Linked DNA regions of Daphnia pulex. The protein of the gene in region 2 interacts with the protein of the main gene of each other region in a pairwise test. Links are inferred from orthologs where the notes say so. Each region holds a gene or a part of one and is shown on either strand. Other genes may lie near its edges.

Evidence for each region. The genes of interacting proteins can lie anywhere in the genome.
Region 1: the proteins of COP9 signalosome complex subunit 6-like (region 2) and thymidine kinase, cytosolic-like interact in a two-hybrid assay, tested with the Homo sapiens proteins (2 studies listed by BioGRID and IntAct). The link is inferred for Daphnia pulex from reciprocal best matches to the Homo sapiens genes COPS6 and TK1.

What each region holds. Positions count from the first base shown.
Region 1 is NC_060026.1:15,980,598-15,984,589, reverse strand, and holds the start of thymidine kinase, cytosolic-like, read left to right. Parts: upstream 1-1,189; 5' UTR 1,190-1,290; coding exon 1,291-1,344; intron 1,345-1,525; exon of another isoform or gene 1,526-1,652; coding exon of another isoform or gene 1,653-2,119; intron 2,120-2,183; coding exon of another isoform or gene 2,184-2,268; intron 2,269-2,327; coding exon of another isoform or gene 2,328-3,524; exon of another isoform or gene 3,525-3,672; intron 3,673-3,735; coding exon 3,736-3,831; intron 3,832-3,891; coding exon 3,892-3,992. Other genes in the region: longitudinals lacking protein, isoforms H/M/V-like, read left to right, coding at 1-285, 348-549, 612-730, 792-881; ankyrin repeat domain-containing protein 27-like, read right to left, coding at 1,653-2,119, 2,184-2,268, 2,328-3,524. UniProt on the Homo sapiens protein: Cell-cycle-regulated enzyme of importance in nucleotide metabolism. Catalyzes the first enzymatic step in the salvage pathway converting thymidine into thymidine monophosphate.
Region 2 is NC_060019.1:12,303,757-12,307,022, reverse strand, and holds COP9 signalosome complex subunit 6-like, read right to left. Parts: upstream 1,853-3,266; 5' UTR 1,765-1,852; coding exon 1,611-1,764; intron 1,551-1,610; coding exon 1,422-1,550; intron 1,362-1,421; coding exon 1,047-1,361; intron 981-1,046; coding exon 787-980; intron 720-786; coding exon 576-719; 3' UTR 501-575; downstream 1-500. Other genes in the region: probable transcriptional regulatory protein FMG_0893, read left to right, coding at 1,940-2,086, 2,158-2,170, 2,240-2,486, 2,558-2,694, 2,756-2,982. UniProt on the Homo sapiens protein: Component of the COP9 signalosome complex (CSN), a complex involved in various cellular and developmental processes.

The DNA of each region.
Region 1 (3,992 bases), on a different chromosome or scaffold from region 2:
ACAGCTGAAAGTCTAGGAGTTAATGGCCTAGCACAAGCGACCCAAGAAAAGAATACCAACGGCGATGCAACAACATCGATGAGGGAAGTGTCTTCATCACCGACCAATCTTCCGTCAGAGCTTCAAAAGTCGCACAACGATCGTGTGAAATCGTCATCCAGAAAACGACTTCGGATTCGACGTAGTATAGAGCCGGAAAACCATGATTCCGGCAGTCCTTATTCAGACCACAGTCAAACTTCGTCCACCAACTTCTCACCTCGCATTGAAAAAGTCGTTTCCATGGTATTTTTGTTTGAATTTAACCTCCGAGCTGAATGCGTTTGAATAAATTTTAATTTGTTCAGGAAACCCCAAGAAAAACGACACCCGTTAACAACGATTCTACTCCGATTCCACCCAATTTCACCAATAAGATTACATCACCAAATTTCGTGGCGTCGTTTGAACCGATTCTGCTGGAATGCGATCCTGTCCTCCAAGATTCGCCAACATTTTCCAACATTGAATGTGATCCGCACCCTCAAGTCAAACAAGAGCAATGCATATGTAATGTTAACTATTTTCTTCTTCATTAATGGAACTGAAATTGTTAATATAATTTCATTTAGGTGATTTCTTCCGAGGATTTATCGTTTATAAATTCAACGACTACATCGCCCAATGCCATGGAAATCGACAACAATACTGGGAAGAACCCTTCACGCAAGCTGTCTTGAAAGGAATACAGGTAATTATAAATTGCACCTTATTAACCATCCAACTCACATTAATTTTTTTACACTTGACAGGATCGCGAACTGGACATGAGGAAAGGAGCTCAGCTTTTGGGTGTGTCATACAGCACACTTTACGGACGATACCGATATATTCAAACTTAATAAGTGAAATACGATTGCTTAATTTGGTTTTCTCGGCTTGGTGATAAAAATAAAGTCAAATTTCTGGCATCTACTTCTCCGTTTGTCGGTTATTGTAGCACACAGAACCTCTAGCCTACTTTGGTTTTAGATTATTTTGTTATTACAACACTATAAACAACCTATACTAATTTATGTAATTTTTTAAAAAGAATTTCAAGTCTTCTATAAGACTATAATTATAAAATACCCCAATATTTATTTTTGTTAGAAATTTTGTTCGTTTTTAAGGTTTAAATACGTTTACTATCGACAACGCTGTTCTGGATTATTATCTAATTGGGCGGGAGAATTCCACGCTGAAGGAAAAATTTCGTAGTGTCGTTGAAAACCACAGATCTGTTAACTACCATTTTATTCAAGCCTAAAAATGTCTGTTTCGTACGGAAATTGCCAACTGAACCACCCAAAAGGACAAATCCAGGTAGAATCCCTCTGTTATTCTTGCATTTACAGTCTATGGAGTGAATTTAAAGTTTCGTGACATGCAATCACATTTTTGTCAACTTTCCACACTATATAAGTTCGAACAAAGATTTACGAAAACCTTGTTTACTTGAAATAGTGTAAAGAAAACATGTTATAAAGCTAAAACTAGCATTCAATTCTGTGGGTAAAGAATATGTTTATTTCGTAGGTTCTGAGGGTAAATCAACATAAAATTAATTTAAAATCGGCATAAGGCAAACATTTAATTATTTGAGAATAACACTATGTTAAAATAAAATATGTTTAGGAATCACTCATTGGATTTAGTGGTATGGGTTTTCGTTTCAGGGAAAGTTGACGAGTGAGGCCAGTCCAGAATCTGCCACTGCCAAATCCTTCCTTAAAGTTTTTCCCTCCAAGCTCACAGAATTTTGATATCATCCTCGAAATTTTGAGGTTTTGTGACACATCGGAAGCCGTTTGCTTGTGCTTGTTGAAAATTCTGCAGTCCACTTCCCATTGCAGCAAAAGTTGAACAATATTGGTGTAACCCCATCTGGCTGCCAAGTGCAATGCTGTGTCCCCGTTTCCATTCATGGCGTCGTAATTAAGTCGAAAATGAGCTTGCTCCGAATAGTATAAAAGGGCCTTGACGCACGGTTCGTGTCCGTTTAAAACCGCCAAATGAAGGGCCGTATTCCCTTGAAGATCTCGACAATTTAAATCACAACCGGACTGGTGGCACAACAACAGTAAACACGTTTGGAAACCTACCAAGAAAAATGATTTAATGTTTAATTTATGCACAAAACTGTTTTTCCTAATATTTTATACCTCTAAAAGCGGCCCAGTGCAAGGCTGTACGTCCTACAGGATCAGGAATTTGAACTTTATCGCGAAAGGATGTTCTCAGTAGAACCTATGAACGATTTTAATCATTCAAACTCTATATTCTGTTAATTATTTCAACCGTTTTACCTGGGTAGCGTCGCTGTGACCGTAATACGTTGCATAGTGGAGAGCTGTCCATCCCCTGGAATCGGTTCCTATTGCGTCGACTACTCTTGGCAATCCGCAGGAATGGCACGAACACAATGGGTGGCACTCGAATTTGGAACTGAACAGGAGCTCTGTTAGCGCTTCCGCATCGCCAAAAGCCGATGCTCTGAATAACGGTGTGTCAGGGACATCTTTGGGTAATGTTTGATTGAAACTGCCCAGTTTCAGGTGATCTATCGCCGCTTCTAATGTTGAGATGAGGTAGCCATCTTCACCTAATAGACTTGATGTGTGAAAGAATTTGATGAACTCCAGTTGGGCTGCCCAATTGGTCACTTGAGATTTCAGAATGAGGTAGCTCAATAGTGCCAGTAAATTGTCAGCATTCAGGTCAGCTGGAACATCTGTTTTGGTTAGAAAATTGACTGTTTTTCGTAGACAATCCAACTTGTCAGTCACCAACTTTTTGTCCGATAACTTTTCCAGTTCTGCAAGTGCCATGGTAATACTTGATGAGAACTCCTCGGGGAGTTCAAGATCTTGAAGTGTAATGTCACAGTTGTTCCTCCTGATTTTGTTGAGGTTCGCATCAATTTTGTTGGCCTCAATTGTGACGAGATCCATCAACTGGCTGTAGAGATTGTGAATAACACAGCTTGAGATTCTTCTGTCGAGGCTTGAAAAGTAGTTTTTAACTTCATCTAGGCATTGTTTCAATTTTTCTGGTGAGACGAAATCTTGATCTGATTTCATGTAGTTGGCCAAAGTGATCTTGACTGTTCTTACAGAGTCTCGAATAGATTTTTTCTGAAGAATGGTGGGGCTTTTGATGTTCTTGGCATTTGGATCATCTCTGACGATACAGAGAGCCCTTACTTTTCCCAATTTTGTGTAGATTGTTTCCTGGAACAGGATGCGAACTGAAGTCGATCCAAATTTCAGCCTGTCGTCACTTATTTGAACTGGCTCATTGGTCAGTGTCCTGGATTCTCCTCCATGTTGCATGATCAAGTGCTTGCGAACATAGAACTCGTCGAACTGATCTTGACAGACACTGTTTGCCGATGGAATGCAAAGGATCCATTGATTCTTGACAGCTTCTTCGTACAAAACTGTACAATTCTCCTGGAAAAACTTCAAAAAGGGATTACTTGAAAGATCTTCGTCGTACTCCATAATTTGGATAAAACTTTAAAATGATCCTTTCCTAACGTTGGAAAGGTCCAGAATGGCAATTTTCTGTGTCAGCTACTATCTTTAAATGACTCACTTCCGACCCGTTTCCGACGTTGTTATTTTTATTTCTTTGTTTACTGACAGTTTGTATTGCCAAAATTTCACCGGTGCGCCTAGTTATTAAAATCCCCCCTACTTTTTGTCTACGCAGATTATCTTTGGGCCCATGTTTTCGGGCAAAACAACCGAATTAATTCGCCGTTTGAAACGCTATGAAGTGGCCAATCACAAATGTTTGATCGTCAAGGTAATTTTTGATTATTTTATTTATTTTACAACTTAATTTTAATACTAATGATGATTTCAGTATGCCAAAGACTTGCGGTATGAATCGAAATGCGGCCAGGGGGTGGCTACTCACGATCATCAACATCGGGCGGCCGTTGCGGCCACCGTCCTGTCATCCAT
Region 2 (3,266 bases):
CGTTGTAAATCTGTACCTACACATTTTGGCATAATATTATAACACATTTTTCCAGTGTTGTCAAAATGAATTGGAAAAAAAGATTGGAATCTGAATCAAATAATTTTAGATGCCAAAATTTCCTTTTTTCTGTGAGCTCAACTACAATTAATTTAAGTTATATTGGATCACGAATTCATTAAATAATTTTAAAAATTACAAAAAAACTGCCAAACAACGAACGATATTGTTAAGTCGAGTAAATCTTTAAATAACCAACATCTTGGCTAGGACCCATAGTTTCGATGTAAGCTAATCTCCAGTGTATCGGATTTGCCGGATTTGTCAAATCCAACAGACTGCTAATCTCATACTAACACTCTGTATTAACAAAGGACGCCTTAAATTACGAGGCCAATAAACTTAAGAAAAATAATCCATATGGACTTGATATTACACTGCCATGATTAAGCTGACATTTTCAATACACACCTTGGATGGAAATGTAGCTGAAATGGGAATCTTGATCAAAACCAATATGTATTAGGTAGGGCACAAAGCATGTTTCCTTAAATATGTTATACAATGCTCACAATTCAGAAAAAGAGACCACGCATTCGGCGACCCATTATGCCTTGACGGTCGCAAAGTATGTTGAATTTGGTGACAAACTGGTGAAGGTCGTGACATGCTTTGGTAATGGATGCCAAATAGGTTTGCAGCAAGACATCATTGTATTGCTACAAGACAAAAGAAAACAAGATTAGAAAAATCAACCCAATTAACAAAGAGTTAAGATATAATTACGGTGTAATATTCCTCCTGGAAAATTTCAGAGTTGAGGACAGGTAACCTGTGGGTCAGAGATTTAGCTTCGCGTAAGACTTCGTGAGACTTTGGAACCTCTCCTCTCTCCATGGCTCGAATGTATTCTAATATCAATCGCACTCGGTTGGCAAGCATTTTTACTGCGTTGTGTTGGGCTTGCAATTGTTCCGCCACTGTTTAAAAAAGAAAAGTATGTCCATGACAGTTTCATAAGGATAATGTTAATGAATTAAAATTACCTTGAGAACTTTCAGCTGAATCACCAGAAGCCATTCTAGCAACATGATCAACTCCAATTCTTTCTGCCTCTTCTGTGGCCAAAGTATAAGTCAATTCAACAAAGAGCATAGTTGCCTCTCCATTGACAAGATCAATTACAGATTCATACATTGTTACAGGGAGGTCAGCATTTCGTGTAAAAGGATTAAGCTTCAAAATTACAGGACTTTCGTTAATCTCACATATTTGTTTGTGGACATGAATGTCAGATTCATTGGGAGCATCTCCAGTGGTATACCAGCCAAGGAAATCCATATCACTAAACACTTGCTTGACTAAAGATAAAAAGAAATTATGAAGAACATTTAATAAGTAAAGAATGGGAAATTTCATACATTGCTCCTCTTTTGTGTTGTAGTAATCTCGGTCAATTACCACATTCTCAATAACAGTGAAAACCAGTTCAAAGGAATTCATGATTTCTAGGCTTCTTCCTTTCTGCTTTCCAATGAGTGCACCAATCACTATGAAATTGTGTATACAAAATAAATAAAGAGTTAAAATGTACATCACATAAACATTACCTTGCTGTGCTTTCCCTTCCTGGGCTCTCACTCGAGTCCAATGTTCAGATATATTCATCACAACCAAGGGATGCAATAAAACTGATATACTTCCTGTCGCCCCCGATGAAGCCATTACATGGTTAACATTCTGATTATTCTCTTCAGTCTCCATTGTTTTATTCAAGAAAATCGAATATCAGGAAGTGATCTGCGTTTGAAAAGAAGAAGTTGAAAGCGTAGCAGTCGACGTTGTAGCGAGACTAAAACAGCAGACGAAAAGATATTTACCGGAACTGCATTTTGTTTTCTTTTTATAATAATTCAAAAAATATTAACAATAATTTATCATGTTTCAAAAGATTCGTTTGGGTATTTTGATTCCGCTCTCAAGAAACATGGCTGGGCATAGTAAATGGGCCAACATCAAACATGTGAAGGGTGCAAAGGATGCTGAAAGAGCAACTTTACATCTAAGAATTTTTCGTCAAATTAGGGTATTTTGAATTTGTGTTCTCATTATTAGTGTAACTATAACATTTTCTTGAATTTCAATCACAACAATCAGGCAGCTATTAAAGGTTTGTATACTGAGTATTAATTTTTGGTTGAAACAAAGTTTAGCATTAACATACAATTCTTTGTTGCAGAACATGGCTCGGCAGATCCAAAACAAAATATAAAACTTAGTCATCTTGTAGATCAAGCAAGGCATCATAATGTGCCCTCTGAAAAGTTGAAACATATTCTAAAGAATGCTGATCAGTCTACTGAGGATTTAAAACCTTATGTTATGGAAGTAAGAGGACCAGTGGGAACCTTTTTCGTGGTAGAAGTTCTCACTCCTAGTTATTTGAAAGCAAGACAAGGCATCAATACAATCAACAGGAAATTCAAGTAAGTTTAAAATTACTGGTAAATGTAGTGTATGAATTGACTTATAAGTAATAATAATCCTTTCTTGTCAGTGCATCATGGGCAGAAGGAGTTTCAAACAATCTGTTTAACCATCAAGGATTAATCAAGGTGTCACCATTATCTATTGGCCAAACTATTGAGCAAGTACTTGACGATGCTATTAACGTCGGGGCGGAAGATGTAACAGGTATCATTCAAGTGAAATATATACATTATGCAATTATCCGAAATTCTGTGGTAATTTCTAGCTGATGAAGATGGCAAGTTTGTCTTCACATGCAGCCCAAGGGATTTTTTGAATGTCAAGAGATCTGTTAGTCAGCTTGGCTATTGCATAATAGAATCTGACTTGCTCTATATCCCACGAAATAGAGTTCAGATTGAATCCGAAGAAGACTTAGCATTAGTTTCTAAGCTCTATAGTAAGTTGGAAGAAGAGCCCGATGTTGTTAAAATTCATGATAACATTGAATGAGATATTTAATACATATTGTAAATTCTTATATTTTGCGGTTTGAATAAATTAATGCAAAGTGCAATTGAGTATGCGTCCGAATTACTTTTCATTTATTACATCCACCCAAACGCCGCGTACCCGCTTCAAGAAATTATGTCAATTAATGCAGAGGAAACTTGAACCTTATTAATGAAAGAATCGTTCAAGACAAACTGGGATATCAAAAGAATAAGTTAAGCACGAATCATTCCGTTAATCGTCAGTTTATTACAGTTCATAAAAGTATCCGCGGTACATGAGTC